Linked DNA regions of Oreochromis niloticus. The protein of the gene in region 1 interacts with the protein of each later gene in a pairwise test. Links are inferred from orthologs where the notes say so. Each region holds a gene or a part of one and is shown in the gene's direction. Other genes may lie near its edges. The genes, in order: ccndbp1, ccdc146 and lg6h22orf23.

The links.
Region 2: the proteins of ccndbp1 (region 1) and ccdc146 interact in binary tests that used the Homo sapiens proteins (3 or more experiments, as listed by UniProt). The two-hybrid records come from large-scale screens. The link is inferred for Oreochromis niloticus from reciprocal best matches to the Homo sapiens genes CCNDBP1 and CCDC146.
Region 3: the proteins of ccndbp1 (region 1) and lg6h22orf23 interact in binary tests that used the Homo sapiens proteins (3 or more experiments, as listed by UniProt). The two-hybrid records come from large-scale screens. The link is inferred for Oreochromis niloticus from reciprocal best matches to the Homo sapiens genes CCNDBP1 and C22orf23.

What each region holds. Positions count from the first base shown.
Region 1 is NC_031970.2:14,580,948-14,584,702, reverse strand, and holds the start of ccndbp1 (cyclin-D1-binding protein 1 homolog), read left to right. Parts: upstream 1-728; 5' UTR 729-807; coding exon 808-889; intron 890-2,646; coding exon 2,647-2,706; intron 2,707-2,956; coding exon 2,957-3,036; intron 3,037-3,267; coding exon 3,268-3,349; intron 3,350-3,755. Other genes in the region: H-2 class II histocompatibility antigen, A-U alpha chain, read left to right, coding at 47-183. UniProt on the Homo sapiens protein: May negatively regulate cell cycle progression. May act at least in part via inhibition of the cyclin-D1/CDK4 complex, thereby preventing phosphorylation of RB1 and blocking E2F-dependent transcription.
Region 2 is NC_031981.2:8,530,998-8,534,752, forward strand, and holds the start of ccdc146 (coiled-coil domain-containing protein 146), read left to right. Parts: upstream 1-1,311; 5' UTR 1,312-1,497; coding exon 1,498-1,498; intron 1,499-2,177; exon of another isoform or gene 2,178-2,327; intron 2,328-2,496; coding exon 2,497-2,690; intron 2,691-3,016; exon of another isoform or gene 3,017-3,755. UniProt on the Homo sapiens protein: Essential for sperm flagellum biogenesis and male fertility.
Region 3 is NC_031971.2:34,108,776-34,112,530, reverse strand, and holds the start of lg6h22orf23 (UPF0193 protein EVG1), read left to right. Parts: upstream 1-992; 5' UTR 993-1,109; intron 1,110-3,755.

The sequences.
Region 1 (3,755 bases):
TCATTTTCAAACTACACAAATAAAAGATGTTTTTTTTTTTTTTCAGAGTTGAAGGAAAACAAGATGAGCAGAGTGAGCCCTGAAGCCGTGTTTTTCGGTGTGAGTGTCGTTTTGTGCCTGATAGGATTCGGGACCGGAGTCTTCTTTTTCATCAAGCAGCCAAATGAATGTCTTCAAATTTGAGATTGAGTTTATTAAATTAACTTTAATCATTCAGTCTTTAATCCCCTGATTAATTGGTTTTATATGTGCAAGCAAAACCCATCAAAAAACATAAAAATCCAGTATCTTGTGCTTACAGATAACTTCTTTATATCACTGCATTAATAGTGAATGACAGTTTGTTTACTTAATGTGTTTAATGTGTACTTACAATTTGTATTGTTTTTCACTTGATGATGTGGTGTTAATATACTTTGATTTTTAATAAAGAGATCATTACTGGGGTTGTTATATGATCAACGGTGTATGCCTTTATAACACGCAGACCTACAAAAGAATTTGTGTAGAATAATTCCTCCCTGCTGAGGATTTATAGATAAATAAAGCAAAAATCTTGCACAACTGTGAACTAAAGAGTTGTGACGTCTTTGTTTGTTTGGTTTGAGGCAGGTATGCGCGCTTGTTTAATAGTTTTTGAAGACTAGCTCGTTGGCGCCCTCTGCTGCGCTCCTGGCTGAATGGCAGCCGGGTCAGCAGGAACGTCCGGCGGCGCCGTTGTTTCGTTTATTTTTGTCCCTCTATCAACGGGCTCCCCTTATGTAGTTCCACAACACGCATGTAACACGATCCACAAACTCTGGCGACATGAGTGCTGATAGTTGTGGTGGAAAAGTAGCTTTACGGAATCTGGTTAACTCCATCAACTGCATCCGAGACCGAGTCAGAGGTAACTGTGCCACATTATCTGTCTGTGTTGTCACAAATGAAACTGCTTAACCATAAAAGCTTATGTCAAGCTAGCTAAACGTGCTAATATATGTGCTAACATTGGTATAAACTTTCTTCATGTTAACTGTTGTAGATTTACGAGTTTAACTGTTTGTTAAACTCGATTCGTGTGTTTAGCAGCAGTTAACGACTTTGACGTCTGTTTGTTAGCAGACAAAGACGGGGATTTAGCTAATTTAACATACAGCGATAAAGACATTTGGCACTTTATTACGTGACCCAGCTACATTTAACTGCTAATTCCTGTTCGCTTTTATTCAGGTTTTTATTCCCAGGTTTTGTAGAAAATGGAGGTTGGGGCTTTTTGTCTTGCTTTTTCAGTTATTTCATGTTGTCCTCATCTTCACTGACCTAAATGGGACATTAGACCTCAGTGTTACTCGGTATTTTCATGAGTCAGTTTTGTGAACAAAAACAACTGATTGTGCAGGATATAACAATACTTAAAGGTTTGCTTTTACAAAAGAGTGTAAAGCTGAAATACGAAAAAGATAAAGTGGACAATATCAGACATTTTAATACGAAAAAAAATGTTTATCAAGACAAACATACAAACAGGAACTAAAGCGCCACTCAGCCCTAAGTGGCCCTTCAGTTACTGCCAAAAATCCAAAACGACTACTGTGTTGTCGTCATCAAAATATTCAGACATTTCATTATGTCCAAAATAGTGGCTAGCTAATTGTAGTTGATGGGAGGTTTTGGTCTTCCGTCTGAAGAAAACCTAGTATATAAAAGCCCAAATATGTTTTGTTTTTTTTGTCCAGAAATGACACAGAAATGCACTGAGTTCTGTTAACACTTGAGAAGATGAGTCTGATCAAAACTGACACCTTTAACCCAAGAAACCCTTAAATGTTAAAGATTGTAAGAAAGAAATAATTTTTTTGTGCCATGGAGCTGTCTTCAAATCCTATTTTCTGACCGCTTATCCATTTTACAGTGATTTTAAACAGCAAATAGAAGCTAATTCTCCTATTTCAGAAATTGAAATTAGATTATTTAAAGATTAAATTATTGTAATTTAAATTCCTTGAAATTGCAAGGAGTAAGGGTAGTGAAGGTTAGAGGAGTTTAAATGCCTGGGGGTCAACCATCCAAAGCAACAGACAGTGCACAAGAAGAGATTGCAAGCAGGCTGGAGACGAGGTGTCAGGGGTGATTTTTTTTTTTTTTTTGAGAGAGAGGGATAGCAGCAAGAGTGAAAGGGGAGGTTTACAAGATCGTAGTTTGATCTGCTATGATGTATGGATTGGAGACAGTGGGACTAAAGTGGGCAAAAACAGGAGGTGGAGCTGGAGGTGGCAGAGTTTAAGAATTTCTTTGGAGTTATCAGCATGGACAAGATTAGAAATGAGTACATCAGATGGACAGGTCAGACTGAGCAGTTTGGAAACAAAGTTAGTGAGGCAAGGCAGAGATGCTTTGAACATGTGCAGAGGAGGGATATGGAATATCCTAGGCAAAGGGTGTTGTATATGGACCTGCCAGGCAGGAGAAAAGGATGAAGACCACAGAGAAGATTCATGGATGTAGTGAAGGAAGACATGCCAAGGTCTGGTATGACAGAAGAGCACGCAGGGACAGGATGAGATGGAGACAGATGATCCACTGAGCAGCCAAAAAAAGACGAATCCTCTGCAGTTTAGCTTAAGAACTAGAACCAAGAATTTAGAACTTTTTTTTTCTTCGCAGATGGAGAATCAAACGAGTCCGATGGAGCATTCAACCTCTCCAATTTCTGGGACACTTTGAGTTGAGTATCATGATCTCTTGCTGCTGTTTCAGCTCCTAGACTTTTGCATCGAACGTCCTTTGACAACTGGCTGATGTTCCTGTCTCGTTACAGTGAATGTTTTCTAAGAAATGTATTTGCATTGTTTTTATAATGTTTTTGCAATGACTTATTTGATATTAAAAAAAAAAAGAAAGAAAAAAAGCATTAGGAGAATTCCTTCCTTCATCGTCTTGTTGTTACATGATGCAACTGTCCTCGTGTCAGCAGATCAGGCAGTGAAGGCAGTGTCCCAGGAAGCCACTAAACTCAGCCTGGCCTTCTCCAAACCTCCTCTGCCATCACAGCAGGTCAGATTATTTCTGTAATCATGAAGGTTTCTCACTGAGCTGATAAACAGATTGTTTTGAAGTCTGGTATAGTGTAAAAATAAGAAATAATGATGATGATGATGTGAGCTGAACTCTTACTTAGAGCCATAAATTATTGTCATGTTTCTCAGGATCTTGAATTTCCACATAAACCTTCTAAAGACCAGCACATCATTTGTTTTCTGTCTGTTTTTCCTCCACAATCTCCAGGATGGAGAGAAGCTGGCAGATTCCATCATGAAGAGCATCCTCACACTGTCTACAGTGTATTACTGGCTACCTAAGAGCCAAGGTAAAACCCTGTGAACAGCAGAACAGTAATGTTGTATTCAGATGAGCGAGGTGAATACGTTGCACTGCATTCAGGTTTTTGGAGCATTTCACAATGCCAGAATATCACAATACACTAATCAGTCTAATCCAGACTCCAAAAGCCAGAGCAAGTGCCCGTCTGTGGGCTTATCCGTTTACTTCAGTCCGATGCGCTTCTGTGTTTACTACGGTAGTACTAACAAAAGTCTTCACTCACCCCCGAGTTATTTTGGAAAATTGGAACAACTTATTGAAATGTGCAATTATAGACGGCAATGCAGTTAATGAGGCATAAACAGTTTGTATAATTCTAACAAGCATCAAAGTCAATATTTGGTATGACCCCTTTTATTCTTTAGCACAGCCTAAACTCTCTTAGGCAAACT
Region 2 (3,755 bases), on another chromosome or scaffold:
ATCACTGCCTCTGCAATAGTGGATCGCGCTCCTGTGAAGCCTCTCACTGCCCTGTTTTAACTCCAATGATCCCTGTGTTCAATAAAGTGTTGTGAATAAGAAAGAAACAGTCTACTGAATCTGCGTTTGGGTTCTCTTTTGAATTGCTGCTGTCTGTCTGACACTCAGATCATTTTTAAACTGGGGCCTTGAACATGACAATAAGTTCGCTGTACTCAAATGGTCTCCACAGTCACCAGACCTCAATCGAATAGAGCACCTTTGAGATTTGAGATTAGCATTATGAATGTACAGCCCACAAATCTACAGCATGTACATAATGCTATCATGTGAATATGGACCAAAATCTCTAAAGGAATGTTTCCTGCATTGAATCTGAAAGCAAAATGATGTCCAACCCTACTAGCAACATTTACCTAATAAGGTATATATGTGTGTTGTCAGGGCTTTGCATCTCCACTGGGTGTACACATGGCATTGTGAATGCACATGACTGCATTACTATTCCAAATTTATGACTTTTCTAGACAAAAAAAGAACTCACACTTAGAAGATGAATTGGTTTTTGTTTGTTTGTGGTGTGTGTGTGTAGCCAATGGACATGTTGGACATGCCAAGTAAGTGTAAAATAAAATTCAACAAATAACAAATGTTTGAGGATTGCCAAGCCCCTAAAGAAATGAAGTCCAAGAAGGTTTCTCTTTCCTGGTGCCAGTAAACTCACAACTTTTGTAGTAATATCACATCCTTTCCTAATGGAACATCTTTAACGGATCACATACCAGCATGCACACGCACATACATATACTGCTGAGACAACACATCTCAGCAGCTGTTGCCGGGAATAAGTTACGGGTCATGCCACCTCCCACAGTACAATGTGGGGAAAAAATTTTCAACACCACAGGAGAACAATGGCTTTGAATCACTGCCATCTTTCACCCTGGATATCATTTTAAGGTTTTCAACACTCACCAGTTCAGGGTGTTCAGCCAGCTGGCCACTGATGTTGTTCCATGGAGCCAATTTCATTACACACGGCGATTACGCGCTAGAGATAAAAAGGCTTAATTAACCTGTAATTTAACGCCATCTGCTGGACATGCGCTGCAAGTGTAAAATGAGTTGTTGTTTTTTTTAATTCTCGGATTGAATGAGGTCCGTTGGGATTTTTGTGTATTAATAAAACAGGAGAAAACGGTAGATAAGTAGAAAAAATAACCATAGCTTGCGCATTACTTTTCAGTAGAGGTGAAATTCGAGGCTTTCTCCTTATATTAAAGTGGACGTATAGCGTCGTTGTTATGGTAACCACAACACACCACGAAAGTGAAAAGTCGGTGATTGGGTTTTGCTGAGATTGGCTGTGAAATTATTTAAATATATATATTTTAAAAAGGCCTGTGAAGACTCCAGAGATATAAGAGTAAGGAATGTGTTTCCTAGTTTATCTAACAAACACCAAAAAACCGGACACAGCAAGTAAACTGGCTAATAAGTAAGTTTCTGCATGCTTTAATTGAACAACACACTCGTTGCTGTATTGTTATGTCGTATACACCTTTTTGTATCACATTAGCCCATTTTTTCTATTTTTATGGCCTTCTCGTGTGCTTTAACAGAATTTAGAAGCAGAAACTAAGCTGGAGTCGCTTAGCACCAGTTATAGCCGATAAGCTGTCATAATTTGGTCTTTTTGCGTTTTTCGAGAAAGTACGCTTTCTGTGTGACGTTTAGAGGTCAAATAATATACATCATCTTAAAATGTTTTGAATATGTTTAAGGACAGTGCTCACAAATTACTTTGTGGGATCTACGTTTAAAAAAATATTTATTGATTTTGATTTCCGGCGGAAGCGTAATCCTTCAGAATAAAAGCAGGCTTTTGCATGGCTAATTCGGTGTATTCCGCACATACAATACTTCTATTCATCCCTCCATCCTCTTCCGCTGATCCTTCTGAGCGTCCCAGTGGGGCTGGAGCCAATGCCAGCTATCATAGGGCAAGAGGCGGGGTACACCCTGGACAGGCCGCCAGTGTGTCGCAGGACTAACACACAGATATAGACAACCATTCACACCTATGGGCAATTTAGAATTACCAATTAACCTAACCCCATTAATTGCATGTGTTTGAACTGTGGAAGGAAGTCGGAGTACCCGGAGAGAACTCAAGCAAACACGGGGTGAAAACATATAAAAACCACACAGAAAGGCCCCAGCCAGATAGTGGAGTCAAACTCAGGACCTGTTTGCTGTGAGACAACAGTGCTAGCCATTGCACCGCTGTGCTGCCCACCTTTAGTCATATTATGTTTTATTTATTGGTAAGCAAGCATAGGGAAGGGCATTAAATGTTGAAACTGTGTGCCAGGACTTTGGTGTAACAAACATTTAGATATTTTCGGATTCCTGTCCCACGCAGCTTGTGGGATACTAATGTTTGTTTAGTGTGTTTCTGTCCTAAATATTATTATGTTTTGATCCAATCATTAGTGAATCCATCCGAGGAGGAGACAGAATGCAGGCCTCAGAGTGCAGAAGTTGAAGTGGAAGAGCAAGATGAGGATAAGGGAATGGAGGAGGACGCCCCTCTAGTGGCCGTTGCACCCGATGCGTCACTCCCAGAAAAGCAGCCCTCAACCTCCAGTGAAGTCTCTGCTAGTCCTGCCTCCCAGTGTTTAGATGAGGTAACAGTCATGTGCATTGTTGTGTTGTTATTATTTTGTGAATGGCATTTTTAAATTGTTTTCAGAAAGATAAACATCCCTATTTGATAGTTATAGTGAGAGATTTAACTCCCATAACTCAGAAGAAAAGAAAATAGTATCAGATATGATATAGATGCATGTATTTGCACAAGGCTAATGTTCAGGACTATTATTTCCTCCATTCTTTTGCAGTTTAATTGCTGATATCAAAGTATTGCACATACATAATGTGCGATAAAGTGTTTGTCATAAACATTAAGTGTAAAAAAAAAAAAAGTGAATATTTAGGACTTGAAGTCATCCTGTGAATGAGCACAACACTTTTATTAACTTTATCATCACAGACAGTAAACAGACAGTAAAGTCACAGTCCCACAGTTTTATCATCTTCTGTGAAGCCGATATGAAATCTGCCTTTTATTTAGTGGCTTTATTGGTTCAACACCTCGTAAACCCATTTGTTATGGGCATGCAGCACCTCATCCTGCATTTTTACAAGCCTCATTCAGCCTCGGACACTAGACGGCAGACACTTTCAAAGACACTCATGCGAAACTTGTATACAGTTTTTGTATACATTCATTTGAAAGGCGATTCCAGTACACAAGTGGAGCAGGCATGAAAAGGATTTTAAACCGATGGAACATTGAAATCTGCAACACAGCCATGGAATATTAATTTTATTTTTTTCCCCAATATAAAAATTGCATATCTTTTGGCACAAGAGCTGAATATGAATGATAGAAAAGATCAATCTGATACACACAAAGAATTTCAATTTTACGCAGATATTTACTATGAATGATCACAATTATGCCCAGTCCTTCTCATTACTCAAATGTCATCAATCATTAAACTCTGTACTGCATGACCATTGTATCATATAAAAGCTATCATACCTCTCAAAGTAAAATAAATACTGTACACATCCTCATAATGAAGCATTTCTTTCCCCAATCCTTCCCATTTACAGTGTGTATAAAATGAAATAAATGGTGCTATACAGTTTCCTAGCATTAGATAGCAGTATTGTACAAGAGGAGG
Region 3 (3,755 bases), on another chromosome or scaffold:
TGTCCTTGATCCATCACAGCTGATTTAAATGGCTAAATTACCTCCTCAACATGTCTTGAAGTTCTCCAGAGTCCTGGTAATGAACTAATCATTTGATTTAAGTGTGTAGACCCAGGGTGAGATCTAAAACATGCAGGACACTGGCCCTCGAGGCCTGGAGTTGGCCAAGCCTGATCTACACAGACAGCATGCTAACACAAAGCTAGCCAAGAACCCAGCACAGCCCCGGCACAGCAGCCAGACCCTGAACTTCAACAGGTAACAGATGAGCAGTCAGGCTGCAGCCCCTATTTCTACCTGGTCATGTTTCTAAAGTAGAATCACTTTGGCAGGTTTTCATTTTCGCTTTGTGCTGTTGGCTTTGTGTTCCAACCTAAATACTAAGAGAAAGATGATGTGTGTGTCCTCATCAGGATAGGGATTTGTGTTGCTGTGAGGGACTGTAGTGTTAAATGGTAATTATGAGACACTGAATTTCAGCTATTTTACAGAGTAAGATGAAAGTAATGAAACAAGTAGCATAATGAATTCCTTACTGCTTGGAGTAATTATGTAACATAACTTTAAGAAAACAAACATTTAAGAAAAATGTTCTGTACAATATATTACCTTTTTTGAGTAATGGTGGACCTGTTGTGATCACCCCAATGGTGATCACAATAAAGAGGGGAAATACCTCCAACATGAACAAACATTTGACCCACAACATGCCATTAATTTGCATGAATGTAATGTCTTTGACATGCTGCTTAGCAATGGTGGCCATCGTCAAAGTGGAGCCAATGAGAATCAATAAGAGAATCGATAAGGAATCGATACTGGAATTGATAATAGAATCGAAATCACTAAATTCTTATCACTTCTCATTGGCTCTGCTCATTTCATTTCTGACCTCATTCTGACCAAAATTTAAAATAATGCATTGAGTGTATCTGCAAGTAGTCTCCAAAATGCTCATCTCAAGCTCTGGCTGTGTGCACAGAAGCCCCGCCGACGTGCTGTTCAAACCTTCTGTTTTTTGGAAGGCACCCAATCAGAAAAAACAAGAGCAAAACAGGTTATAGTAGACCATGATAAACTGGGAGGACTGCACCAAGACCAAGCATAAGGTAAATAAGGTTTATTTTGAACTTTTGGTCATACAAAGCCACCAAGAATATAGTTATGGAGCTGGAAATGAGCATATTAGGTCCCTTTTAAGGACTTTCTAGCTCTTAGATGGCATCGTTTACTATTAACTTCATGTAGCTATTTCAGGCTCTGATTAAGGCATTTATGTGTTGATGCATGTACTAGCTAGTTAACGTCTCTGCTCAACATTCATTATGTTGTCCCCGATTAGCAGGATTAAGAACCCAGTCTTAGCCATGATAGCACATCAAAGTGGAGCTAGCTGCAGCAGCTCAGTCGTAATCTCTAGTACAGATCAAACTCTAAAACTAACCGTTGCCTTGGTTGGGCTCCTTGTAGTCCTGCAGAACATTTGTATGATTGCATAACTGGTCTCATGAGAGGTAAAGATATAACTGTTACTATTCACATACCAGAAAATCCAGAACATGAGGGTTAAATTAACTGTACGTCAGACTTCCATATTATTAAAGAGGAATTTCGTGGATTTTATTGAGTCTGTCGAAGGACTCAGTATTTCCAGGTAAATTTATAAAAAGTTACAAACAGGCTTTTGTACAAAATTACATCACTTCAGTATCATGCTCTGGAAGTTAAACCCATTTACAAAGTGGAAACTTGCAATTACAATAATTGATTTTAAAATGAATATCTCTCATTTTAAAATATGTTCATGCACCAAATCCGCTTTAGTGCTTTTCCCTGTTTTTTGGTTTGTTTTTGTTTTTCGAGGTTTTACCAAAGCCTCGGAATCTCTCTGATCTTTTATGCAACTAAAAATACTGTCAATATTAATGCTTTGTTGTGGATCACATTAGGTCAGCAGTGTTTTTTCTTAAAACTGCACTGCAGATTCATTGCTGAATGTGTATGCTTAAGCATGTGTTGTAGATGCTGGTAAGTGTGTGAGGTTGTGAGTCTGTTTGTCTTCCCTGAGGTTATGCGGTACACAACATTGTATGTATTTGTTAGATGGAGGGAGAGGAAGCGTCTTAATGTGATGATGAACTCCATCATCTGACATAATCAGGATGAATCAGTGCACCGTGTTACATAAGCCGATCCCCATCCTTACCTCACCCTTACCCAGATTAGAAACACAGCAGACACAGCCGCCTACAGCCTGCTGATACCTGCCTGCAGCCTGGAGGAGCGATGTGATAACAGAACACTGACATCTAGAGGTCAAATGCTGATATTAACCTTAGTGCTTTCTCACTCTTGGAAAATGGAAAACGTGTTTTTACTCTCTTTGATAACCCCAAATGACTTGTAACGGACAATTCTTCCTAATCTTGCTGTAAGGAAAACAATATTTAAGGGCAGGGTGTAAAACATTCAGCCCACGGACGAGAACCGGCCCACTGGAAGGTCCAGTTTGACATACTGAATGACTGAAAAATGCAGTTTTGCAGTACTGACACGGACATCAATTGTAGCCTGTTGTGCAAAAAGAGTAGTAAAGTAACTAATAAACCATTAATTGAAAAAAAAAAAATCCATTGCTGACAAATATCATAGTATTTCTTAATAATTTTGAAGTCCCAGCTTTATGGTTTTGTGATTTTTTTTTATTTTATTTTTTTTGAATCAGGCTCGACTGGCAAACAGTTTTACAGAATTAAAAGTCTTTATTGTTGAAATTAAGACAATATTAACAATTCTTAACATAACAATGCTAACAACGCTCTTTTGAAATAAAAATATTTTACAAATAATATAGTATCTTCTGCTGATGTAAAAGATCGTGACAATAAATATGTTATTTTTAATGACAATAGAGAGCTCAGAAAAATGCTGATTATTTACAGCTTTAGCAAATGCTTATACTTAAATAAAAATATGTAAAAAAACAAAAACAAAAACAAAACAAAAACCATATTAGTTTGCTTTACATATAATTTAAGGCATAATTCTATTACCATTTTGGACACACCAGCTCATGGGTATGGGTCAGTATTTCTCTTTCTGACTGCATGATGTTTAACTGTTGTGCCACAACAGTTTTGTGGTCCTTTTAAACTGTGAACCCAGTGTAATAGATTTTTAGTTATAAGATACTTTGTAAGGATATAAAATCATACTGCAGTGCAGTATTCTTTCTTTCCTTTGCACAAAAGGGGGGGGGGGGGATTTTTTTTTAAAAAAGGGGGGACATTGATATTTGCACTTGGCCAAAATCTGCCAAATATCAGTACTTCATCTTACTTTGCCTGTAAGGGAAACAGAATTTAGCATGGCTAATAAGCACTCGTGGCTTTGTTCAGTAAGCTTAATAACTTAATGAAACTTAAAAGAGTCTGTTTAATATATAAAGTCTTACACTCCCTTGCTCCACCACCACTAAAGCAGTTCATTAGGCATAAAGAAAGCTCAGACAGGACCACTCGAGCTACAACCCGAGGAGACTTGTTTATACCTCACAGACGGACAGCATTTGGGCAGAATGTCCTCTCTGTCCAGGGTGGCCATCTGTGGAACAGTCTTCCTCAACCCATTAGAGAATGCTCGACTTTCAATTTGTTTAAGGCAAAGCTTAAAAACTGGTTATGGACAAATCAAGTGTGTGATCATGTATGAGTTGTATAGTTTTAATGTTTTATTTGGGAACAGAATGGTGTGTA